Linked DNA regions of Arabidopsis thaliana. The protein of the gene in region 1 interacts with the protein of each later gene in a pairwise test. Each region holds a gene or a part of one and is shown in the gene's direction. Other genes may lie near its edges. The genes, in order: AT1G71020, PDLP6 and AT5G47070.

The links.
Region 2: the proteins of AT1G71020 (region 1) and PDLP6 interact in a protein complementation assay, tested with the Arabidopsis thaliana proteins (one large-scale study listed by BioGRID).
Region 3: the proteins of AT1G71020 (region 1) and AT5G47070 interact in a protein complementation assay, tested with the Arabidopsis thaliana proteins (one large-scale study listed by BioGRID).

The regions. Positions count from the first base shown.
Region 1 is NC_003070.9:26,791,652-26,795,411, reverse strand, and holds the start of AT1G71020 (ARM repeat superfamily protein), read left to right. Parts: upstream 1-2,092; 5' UTR 2,093-2,306; coding exon 2,307-2,600; exon of another isoform or gene 2,601-2,813; coding exon 2,814-2,930; intron 2,931-3,021; coding exon 3,022-3,408; intron 3,409-3,498; coding exon 3,499-3,760. Other genes in the region: MYBL2 (MYB-like 2), read left to right, coding at 1-29. UniProt on the Arabidopsis thaliana protein: Functions as an E3 ubiquitin ligase.
Region 2 is NC_003071.7:291,042-294,801, reverse strand, and holds the start of PDLP6 (plasmodesmata-located protein 6), read left to right. Parts: upstream 1-2,113; 5' UTR 2,114-2,305; coding exon 2,306-3,029; coding exon of another isoform or gene 3,030-3,085; exon of another isoform or gene 3,086-3,514; coding exon 3,515-3,646; coding exon of another isoform or gene 3,647-3,654; exon of another isoform or gene 3,655-3,760. UniProt on the Arabidopsis thaliana protein: Modulates cell-to-cell trafficking.
Region 3 is NC_003076.8:19,119,382-19,123,141, reverse strand, and holds the start of AT5G47070 (Protein kinase superfamily protein), read left to right. Parts: upstream 1-2,038; 5' UTR 2,039-2,613; coding exon 2,614-3,000; intron 3,001-3,292; coding exon 3,293-3,544; intron 3,545-3,759; coding exon 3,760-3,760. Other genes in the region: LCR20 (low-molecular-weight cysteine-rich 20), read left to right, coding at 316-361, 458-639.

The DNA.
Region 1 (3,760 bases):
GTCAAGAAACGCTTCTTCTATTCCGATGAGAAATGGTGTATTTGTTTGTACACATTTGTTATATTACAAATGCACATATTATAATATTCACTAGAGAGATGGTATAACGATGTTTGAAATATGTTAATCCTGAATTGGACCGGCTGGTCATTGAACAACTATTCTCTTAAATGTCCGGTTCTGTTTTCAGTGATTAGTATTATAGTAGATCGTTAATAACTAACCGACGATAACCGCTGCTTATTTGATCAATCAAGCTGTAAGAAATTATAGCTAATACAGCAATGTTAACGGTGCACATTGACGGGAAGTATTAATTAACTCTCTTAAAATGGACAAGTATGTTCATTTTCCTCCAAACTACACTTTACTCTTTATTCAAAAGCAATTTCAAACTCTCGTTTCGCACAAAGGAATCTATAAATACGAAAATTACTTACTAAAGATATAAAGGAAGCAAATTAGTTAACTTATAAAATAATGAAATGTATCGATTTAAGGATGTCTTAAGCATGGAGACTATACGGTCAAATATGCACCAACTAGTACAAACACGTTCACATATATTTTGAACAAAACTCACAATGAATTTGTTTAAAGTATCTTCATACATGCTTAAAATAAAAATTAGAAAGTAAATACATTTGTACAACCGCTATTCAAACATCATCAAATATTAAACAAAATTGCATGACCAAAGAATATGAATGTTTGACAAGTATAGAAGAGGAGATTGTTTGCTAAGAAAATGGACCAATATTTATCATCGAAACTACAATCATCATTAAGGTTGTTTCTACGATTGCGGGATCTACAACCATCAAAGAAGTTGTTTCCACAACTGTATAAACTCTGATCTCACCTTCACTTTCATATTGTTCCGCAAGTACAACTACACCATAAATTTCAGAAATAACGGTGAGTATTGTGGTTAATGGAGAGTTGTGTGTGGATGTGCAAGCAAAAATCACATGCCTCATCAAACACTTCAAGGTTATTAATCTTCATCTGATTCAGACGAATACCCTCTTCTTTATGTAGATCTTTTTATTTTTGCATATGTCCAAAAATAATTATGAAACCAGCCAGTCAAACTTGCCAAAAATGTCTAAAAGATAATGTTGTCTATTTTTCAAGTTGCTATCGGTTGTTATGTAGGACGCAGAAGTCACGGGCATGGACGTCGGCCGATATGATGTGGATGTCGTGGTTGAACCTTTCTTTTGTTAAACCGAGATAACTTTTCAATACAAGACTGTCACAAACTATATGTAAGTCATGTTTATAAATTTTAATCAAAAGTATACTAAACTGTGGTAAAACAGTTTTAAGAAAATTATAGGTCCCAATTTGTATACATGCTTCAAATTATCTAAAATGTTGTTAAAATTCGATCTACCGGGTCATGTTCGACCGTTCCATTTGCAGGCTATATAATACTCACCAAAATTATGTTAATTGACATAATTTTTCTAGAACATTTTTGCTGTAAGAGATATTAAATTTTCTTACACATACAAAGTTATTTTTAAGGGAAAATAAAACATGTAAAGCTATATTTAGTTAATTACAAAGAAGATTTTTTCCATCTTTTAATAAACACTAGGGTAAGACAGATCATATACTAGAAACACATGTCAATACAATGCATCTAAAGGCCTGGAAATTTTATCTTAGTTTCTTTTCAAATAGAAAAAATAACTAATTTGACTATTTATTACCATTTAAGATTACATAAATAATACATACAGATAAATTTCATAACTCCAACATAAATTTCAACACAACTATAAAATACAATCATATAAGATCTACTTTACAACTAAGCACACAACAAACCATTTTCTTCAATAAATAGAAAAGTGGATTTTTTTATTGAATTTAAAAGTATAGTTCATTTCTATTATACAGTTTTGATCTAATATAAATGATAATAATTGATTATTTTTTTGACAACTGTATCATTTTCTCTTCAACCTCTACTTGCACCGTGAATCTCGCTCTCAATTATCTAGTTTGTTCTATTGTATTATTTAAATGTATCACATAAACTTTTATCTAAAAATATAAAGCCAGTAAACTAAAAAGAAAAGAAAAAACCATTTTTAGAGTTAGATAAAAAGTTTAAAACAAAAAACACTAAAACCAAAACGGTGTCGTAACAGCGACTTATCCTTTTTCGCCACATGGCTTCGTTGGATACATAAAAGCGATAGAGACGCATCTCTGAGTCAGAAGCGAGCCAGCGAGAGAGAGAGAGCGAGTCACAAAAATTCGAATTTTAAGCCGCCGTGTGAGACGGCGTAATGGCTGGTGGAGCTATCACTCCCGATTCTCTCATCGGTCTTATTGCTGAAATCAATGAGATTCCGGGGAATTTTGGTTTGTTTAAGAAGGATTGTTCCGATCTCGCGCGACGAGTCGGTCTCCTGACGCATTTGATTGAGGAAATCAGGGATTCTTCTCCGCCGTCGGAATCTGATGCTTCTTCTTCGTTGAATTCTCATGAATGTGATTGGTGGTCTGATCTTGTGGTGGGACTTCAAGCCGCGAAGCGTCTTTTGTCTTCAGCTACTAGTTTCCAAGCTCGCGAGTCCTCTGTAAGCATTCTAAACCATTCTCAACGATTGAAAATGGATTTGTGATTTCACGAAGATTTGGTCTCGCCATGGCAGGAACGTAATTTATAGGAAGAATTTGTTTTTAGTTTTTTTAGATTGGAAGATACTATTGTTGACATTTGTGTAGTGAAGAGCATTATTAATATATACATGAGGAGCTCTCTAAACTTTGATGTGTGATTTTGATTGAAGGATGGGGCAGCCAAGAGGATCTCATTCCAGTTCCAATGTGTTACATGGAAGCTGGAGAAAGCATTAGGTGATTTGACATATGATAGATATGATATCTCTGACGAAGTCCGTGAACAGGTAAAAGTTTGTTCATTATGTAGAATGTATGAAGATTTGGTTTTCCTATCCATGGAGGTGTTTCTAAGGGTTTTTTTTTGCTTGTGATTAGGTGGAACTAGCAAGATTACAGTTAAGAAGAGCAATGCAGAGATATGGATCGTTAAATTCGAAGAAGTTCTCGAGTGGTTTATCTGAGCCAATGGAGAAAGATGCCTCAAGTAATAGAAAAGTTATTGAAAAGTTGGAGAGTATTCCAGAGACAGTGCATTCTTTATCAGATGAGAAGAAATTTGAATCACCCCCTCCTTGGAAGAGCTCTTCAGTATCATTGGCCTTCTTTTTATCAAAGGATGGTGATGATGAGAGATTAGAGAAAGCAGTTACCGAGAACAGCGATGACTCACAGAAATCGGATAATCTCACGATTCCAGAGGACTTTCTTTGTCCAATCTCTCTGGAACTGATGAAGGATCCTGCTATTGTTTCCACAGGACAGGTCTGGTTTAAAAAATCAAATCTTTATATAGTGCTAACGTATGGTTGTTGATTTGAAACCTTAACAATGATCTTCTCTCTTCGTTGGCAGACATACGAGAGGTCGTTCATTCAGAGATGGATAGACTGTGGAAATCTGAGCTGCCCAAAGACACAGCAGAAACTTGAAAACTTTACTCTTACTCCAAACTATGTCCTCAGAAGCCTGATATCTCAGTGGTGCACTAAGCACAACATTGAGCAACCAGGTGGTTACATGAACGGTAGGACCAAAAACAGTGATGGGTCTTTCCGTGATCTAAGTGGAGATATGTCAGCGATCCGAGCATTGGTTTGTAAACTCTCTAGCCAAT
Region 2 (3,760 bases), on another chromosome or scaffold:
ATACACTCTTTGCATGTAATTAAAAATTAAAAAATTGAAATTTTAATTTATTACAAGATTTTGATATCAACCACTTTTAGAGAAAGAGAGTAACCAGGCAATATTAGGAAAATATAAAATTAATCAAGAAAAATAGACATGAAAAACAAACTACTCCAATCTTTTTGTTTAGCCAATAAAGAGATTAATTAAGCTAATATCTTACTAAAAAAGAGTTTATATATTATTAATTTTATAACTTAGAAAATTTCTAATCTATTATGCAAAAAGTTATTTCTAATTAATAAGATTGATTCTACTAATTTTGATAATAGATATTTGATTCAAATATAATGAAAAATAAAAATGACCTCTAGCAATTTTTAAATTTTTGGTAACAAAATACTAACAATTTTCTTTTCTGGCATAGTTTAAATTAACTTTAGATAGTTTGAAATAATCTTAAGGATCAAAAGATAATAGTTACAATCTATGAAAAAATTGTTCTTGCAATGTAACAAAGATCACCTAAATCAAAAATGCCCTCGAGTTGTCCATAGATGTGTGTAAAATTAACTTAACAAAACTAATCAGTGCATGATTATATTTTTTTTAGTCGGCCAATTTATCCATTAGATAATGAAAGTGTGTACAGAAATACATTTAACAGACCCAAGAGACTATAACTCCAATTGGTAACATTACATAATAGCATAATAATATAAATTGCCAAATAAAAATTTGTAAAATGAAAAATTGTAGAATAAAATTATTTTTAAAATATGTTGATTGCATAAATTTTGTAGAATAATACTGCTTTTGTTGAGCCTCTCTTGCTAATGTATTTGCCATTACATTTGGTTCTCTACGACTATATATATTATAGTAACGGTTCTTGGCCAAAGCTAAGATATTATTTAGGCAGTCCTGAATTTCCCAATTTCCCGGTGTAGGATGATGACATGATGTGCGCATATACCAACTACTTTTAACAAAAATAAAATTACACTAGGTGAATACTCACACTACGTATAGGTTGTTATTTTAAAAATTATTTAAAAATAATTATGTTTAACTATTTTGATTGCTAATTTATGTTTTTTCCGTATATGTTATTATGTAGTTAATAAAGTTATATTTATTTTATGTAATTATATTTGTAGAGTTAGATTCACTTTTGATTCACATATCAATTATATTTTTTATGTATAAATCTTTTTATCTCTATACCCAAAATTCTAATCTTTTTTTAACTATCATGAATTACTTACATCAACAATATATGATACAATGGTATGCAATTATGTTACTTATTTAGTTTGAAAGTTGTCTAATTTGATTCTAAGCAAACAATTTATTGTTTCATGTATTCTCTCTTAATCTAATATCCCAATCACATCATGATAAACTCATGGCTAAGTATTAGATTGACATAAAATAAATAACATATGTATAACTAACTACTCATTTGCATTAAAAGTTTTCACGTGAAAGAAAAAAAAGAAAGCAAAAATTAAACAGTCTTTTAAGTTAATACTTTTAGGTTTCTCTCTTTACATTTGCATTTAGCTATATTGGAGAGAATGTCGTATATTAAATTTTTTGGTATATCTAACGTCTCAAAAGACCATTACTTTAAAAAACATGCATGTTATTATTAATGTTACTAATTTATCATAAAGTACAAAAAGACCATGATAATATCATGTAGACCAAAAAATGTAATAATAAGAAAAATTAAGTTAAAATTACTAAATTAAAAAAGGTTAAGTACCAGGTAAGTTGCAATACCCAAAAGTTTCTAACCATTATCAAATACTGACTATTAAAAAAAATAGCAAAATAAGAAAAGTAAAATGAAAATAGTATTTGATATATTAACATAATTTTTTATATTTTTTTCTTTTAAGTGAAGATATTTTGTTAAAAATAAGATTAATGAATGATTCAATGCAATGTTAAACTTTTAAATTTTATCACCAAGTTTTATTATTTTTCTAATAATATTAATTTAGGATAACATGTGACACTCATTAGTGTGATGATGTGTCACTCATATGAAGAAAGTTAGCCAACTTTCATATATATGATTACCAAATAAATAATTTTGACATATAGTATATCGATTACCAAACCATATAACTGATAAACAGATGATAAAAATACAATATAATCAAAGTGTTTCATAATCATATAGTAACGCACCAATCATTAAAAAAAAAAAAAAGTTAAACACCAAGCATAAAAAAAAGTCGCGACGTTCTCATTCTTTCTCGAATCATACCACAGAGAGAGAGAGAACAAAAAGAAGCAATCGTCGAAAGTCATGTTCGCTACAAAAACAGTTCTCTTTATCGCCGTCGTGTCACTTCTCGGAACGTTTTCATCCGCCGCTGTCGATACTTTTATCTACGGTGGTTGCTCACAAGAAAAGTACTTTCCGGGATCGCCTTACGAGTCAAACGTTAACTCTCTACTCACCTCGTTCGTTAGCTCAGCTTCTCTCTACACATACAACAACTTCACCACCAACGGAATCTCCGGCGACAGTTCCTCCGTCTACGGTTTGTACCAGTGTCGCGGTGATCTCTCCTCCGGCTCGGGAGATTGTGCAAGATGCGTCGCGCGAGCAGTAAGCCGTCTAGGGAGTCTCTGCGCCATGGCAAGCGGTGGCGCGTTGCAGCTCGAAGGCTGTTTCGTTAAATACGACAACACGACGTTCCTCGGTGTTGAGGATAAGACGGTGGTGGTTCGACGTTGTGGACCACCGGTTGGTTATAACTCGGACGAGATGACTCGTAGAGACTCGGTGGTGGGTTCTTTAGCGGCGAGTAGCGGTGGTTCATACAGAGTAGGAGTGTCGGGGGAACTGCAAGGTGTGGCGCAGTGCACCGGAGATCTTAGTGCGACTGAGTGTCAAGACTGTTTGATGGAAGCGATCGGACGGCTGAGAACGGATTGCGGAGGAGCTGCTTGGGGTGACGTGTACTTAGCAAAGTGCTACGCGCGTTACTCTGCGCGTGGAGGTCACTCTAGAGCCAACGGCTATGGTAATGTCTTCTTTGCTCCGTTGCTTTTTATTTCTTTTATAAAGATTTTTATTTGATTTTAAAGTTTTTAATTAAGGGAAAAACCCGAAAAAATCTCCGGCTAATTTTAGTTTGTCTGTTTAATACCTCTATTATTTAATTTTCTCAAAAAATATCTAAATTAATTTTTATATCTTTTTAAAACTTTCGTTTTATTAAATTTTGTTAAAATTAGATATTCAAATTAACAGCCGTTAACAGTGGTAACTGAATCAATAACTGCAGTAAAAACTTAACTGTACAGTATTTACTATTTATATATATTTTATTATCGAATAGTTACGAACGTATTGTCTTAGTCATGTGGTTATGTGAGATTTTTATTTTCAAGATTTATTTTTTTCGTTTATTTTCTCCATCTTCTTTGCATAGAATTTACAATTTATGCATATAATATTTTTGATAATTGTATTGTTAAAAATGTGTTATTTTTGGGATGTAATTAGGTGGGAATCGTAATAACAATGATGACGATGAGATAGAGAAAACACTTGCAATCATAGTTGGCTTAATTGCTGGAGTTACGTTACTCGTCGTATTTCTCTCTTTTATGGCAAAATCGTGCGAGAGAGGTAAAGGTAAATGAAATGACCCATCCCTAATTAATCGAACATTATCATCAAATATTGTTATGATTAACGGATCAATATGTAATTAATGGAGCCCAAAGATAAGGCACTATGATCCGACTT
Region 3 (3,760 bases), on another chromosome or scaffold:
GAATTATTGACCTACTTTCGTATTAATCAATTTTAATTTTGTACTTATCCTTTATCTTTTAAGTATCATTCCACTTATGTATATATGTTACTAAAAAACATATGGATACTATCAAAAATATATATGTTACTAAAAACTATCCATATTTTTTTAGTAACATATATACACAAAGAGAAAAAAATCAAAAATGATAATATATGCATATATATATATATATATATATATATATATATCTGTGTGTGTGTCTTTCTATGTGATATTTCATTATATAGTACCGTTATTCTCATTATTTTTGTAAACTCCAATTATCATACAATGACTAAATCCACCTTTCTTTTTGTCTACATCATCCTTATTCTAGGTTTTTTTAACCATCTCTAATTCAGTTATAAAATCATGTAGTTTTACTACCATGAAAACTAACTTTGTGTTTGTGTTTTAAATATTACTTTTACAGGATCAATGGTGAATGAGATTCAAGGACAAAACGCAATATGTCAAAAGTTTTTATCGGAAACTGATTGTGGTGCTGGCTCGTGTACCGCGTTGTGCTTGCAGTTATGGAAAGGAATTGGCAAATGTATTAAAACAGATGATCATAAATTATTATGCCTCTGCAAATATGAGTGCATAGTTTGATTTTTTTTGTTCACTTTATTTTGAGATCTATAAATCATCATCAATAAAATAATAATTTTAATCCATAAAATAATCATTGTAGCAAATTATCATCGTACCATATAAAACTACTTAAGATATGTTACAACTTACAAGAAATTGTTTGTTCAAAAAGAAAAATCTCATAAGAATTAGTTACATATATATTATTTAATAATTAACTTTTAGGTATTACATATTTAATAGGTCAGAAAATTTTTAAAACCAAAATCTCTGTATATAAAGTTAAAGATTTAAATCAAATCAAGTACAAGGATGAGTGATTTAAATATTACAAAGTTTAAAACATAAATAAGAGAGACATTCTCCAATACCATAAAATGATAGATAAAGTAAAACGAGATAGATTTCATGAGAGCTTTGAGACAAAAGCTAAAAACATTATGGCGCATGTGAAAGCACGGTTAGTCGAAAGATTTTCTACGAGCGAATCAGGACGACAAGTTGGTCACGGTCAAAAGACGAGGTGACGTTAAAAAGGATTCCATGTCCGAAGTTCTCCTCGGGGCAAAAAGGGCGAGCTGGAATTGCTCATCGGTATGGAGAAGAGTGTTGACGGTTCTCTGCTCGGGTGGGATTAGAGGTAAAAATTGCCATATTTTCGTATTTATTTTATGATATTGTGCAATTTTTCATAATCTATCACATAAAAATGTGGAATATGATAAAATAATAAAATGAAACGAATTTTACGTTTATATTAGACTATGTGCATCGGGGGTTTATTCAACCGTTGAAACTCTTACAATGAGGGTGTTGAAAAAGTAAAAAAAAATTTGTGGATTAACTATAGTTGAAAAGATTCAACATGTTGAACACAAATAAATGGGCGTCACTTGCGACACGTGTCTTCTTTTCACTAGATATTAAATTCTGAAAATTTTTATATTTCACCCTAAATATTTAAGATTAGAACTAATTTATTTTTTTATGAATTTAAAATCAAAATTAATCAAAAAAATTTCTTTATAAAAAGATCCTTGTTTCATTTGATTTGCACATAAAAAAAAGAAGTTTATTTTACTATAACTCTTTTAATTATCTTCACATACATTTTTGTTTAAATTTTTATACATTTAGAAAAATGGATTTCAACAAACATAATTTGTTTGTATTTTATAATTATTTTAACTTAAATTTATTTGATAAGTGTTATTAATATGTAATTTGAAACATAAAAAATATGAGATAAAAATAGTGGGTTAAAATGTTGAATATTATTAAACAAACCATTGTAAATGTTAAAAATTAAACAGATGTTGAATAATTAGCTGGGAAAAAAAATAAAAAATAATATGGAGTGTTAAAAGCAAATAAATAAGAGTGCTTAAAAAACAAACTAATATACATAGTCTTAGGCTGTAAATTCATTTTAAAAATTCCACAATATAAGTTATTTATACCTACAATTATTAATACAGAGTCTAGAAATGTATGAGTCTTTCACACATACTTTTCAACGTGTAATCCGTACGGACGCGATTTCTTCTGTTTTCTTTTGTGTTGAAACACGATTTCTTCTCTTCTTTCTCCTTATCTTTTAAGGAATGGCGTAACGTTTTGTGTCTTTTTCCATCTTAATCTGCTTTCTCGACAAAGAAAAGCAGAGAAAGAGAGACTTGTTATACTAAACTCAATCTCTGGCTTTTAGTTTTGTTGTCTCTCTCCTTCAGTTTCCAGGAAAAAATCTCTTTCTCATTAAGCTGTTATATAGATCTGTGTTCATACTCTTCTTCCACAATCTAACCCAAAAAAAAAAAAACTTTATTTCTCTCTACAAATTTCATTTGTTCCATTTTCTCAATTTTAGAACTTAAGAAACCCAAAAAGCAAATTTTTAGTACATTTTCTGGTTTAACTAAAGTAATTAATTTTTGTGTTTTCCATCAAAATTCCACTGGTTTTCTTTAGAATTTTTTTATCTCTCTTTAAGACATGAACTGTCTGTTCTTGTTCAAATCAAAGAAACCCAGAAAGCAACAGAAAGACAACAACAAGAACAAAAGAAAAGGTAAAGAGTTGTTACAAAACTCAGCTCCAGAACTGACGAATCGGAGTGAAACGTCTTCGTTTAATCTCCAGACACCAAGATCGTTGCCTTCTCCAAGAAGTATCAAAGATTTGTATACAGAGAGAGAACAAAATCTTAGGGTTTTTTCTTACGAAGAACTCAGTAAAGCCACTTATGTGTTTAGCAGAAAGCTTGTGATCGGTGAAGGTGGATTTGGTATTGTTTATAAAGGAAAGATTCTCAGCAATGGAGATTCTTCTGATCCTCCACTTGTCGTTGCCATCAAGAAACTCAATCGACAAGGTTTACAGGTAAAAAGTTAATCTTCTCTCTGCTTTGTTGCTAATATAATCATTAGAAGATAAATTAACCAATTAATTGAAGCTAAGAAGTTGAAATAGAAGATTAGATTGATGCAATTATGAAGCAAAATCAAATTTTGTCACTTGTTTGAAGTAAAGTTGAAGAAATTTCGTAATCTTGATATAAAGATTTAGTGGAATGGTCAAATGGAAAAGTAAGTATGAGTCAATGGATGCATTTATTAAGTCAACTTTGTTGCTTTAGTAATATTCCTTTCTCTGTGTTTGAATGGTGTATTAGGGTCACAAGCAATGGCTAGCAGAGGTTCAGTTTCTTGGAGTAGTGAATCATCCGAACGTTGTGAAGCTCATAGGTTATTGCTCGGAAGACGGCGAGACCGGGATCGAGAGGCTTTTGGTTTATGAGTACATGTCGAATCGAAGTTTAGAAGACCATCTCTTCCCTCGTCGATCACACACATTACCGTGGAAAAAAAGACTCGAGATCATGCTTGGTGCTGCTGAAGGATTGACTTATTTACATGATCTTAAGGTAAAATTTCGAAACCCATTAGAGGAAATCTGGTTTTAGACAGACCCTTTTTATTGTTCTTGATATTTTCGGACAGGCACAATGTTAAACATTAAGTTATATTAAATGTGGTCATAGAGACATGATTAGTAGTTTAGGATCGAGACTTCTGTGAACCGGGGATGTGTGTTTAGTGTTTAGATTGGAAGATAATTTCCTATTTATTTGGTTGACAGG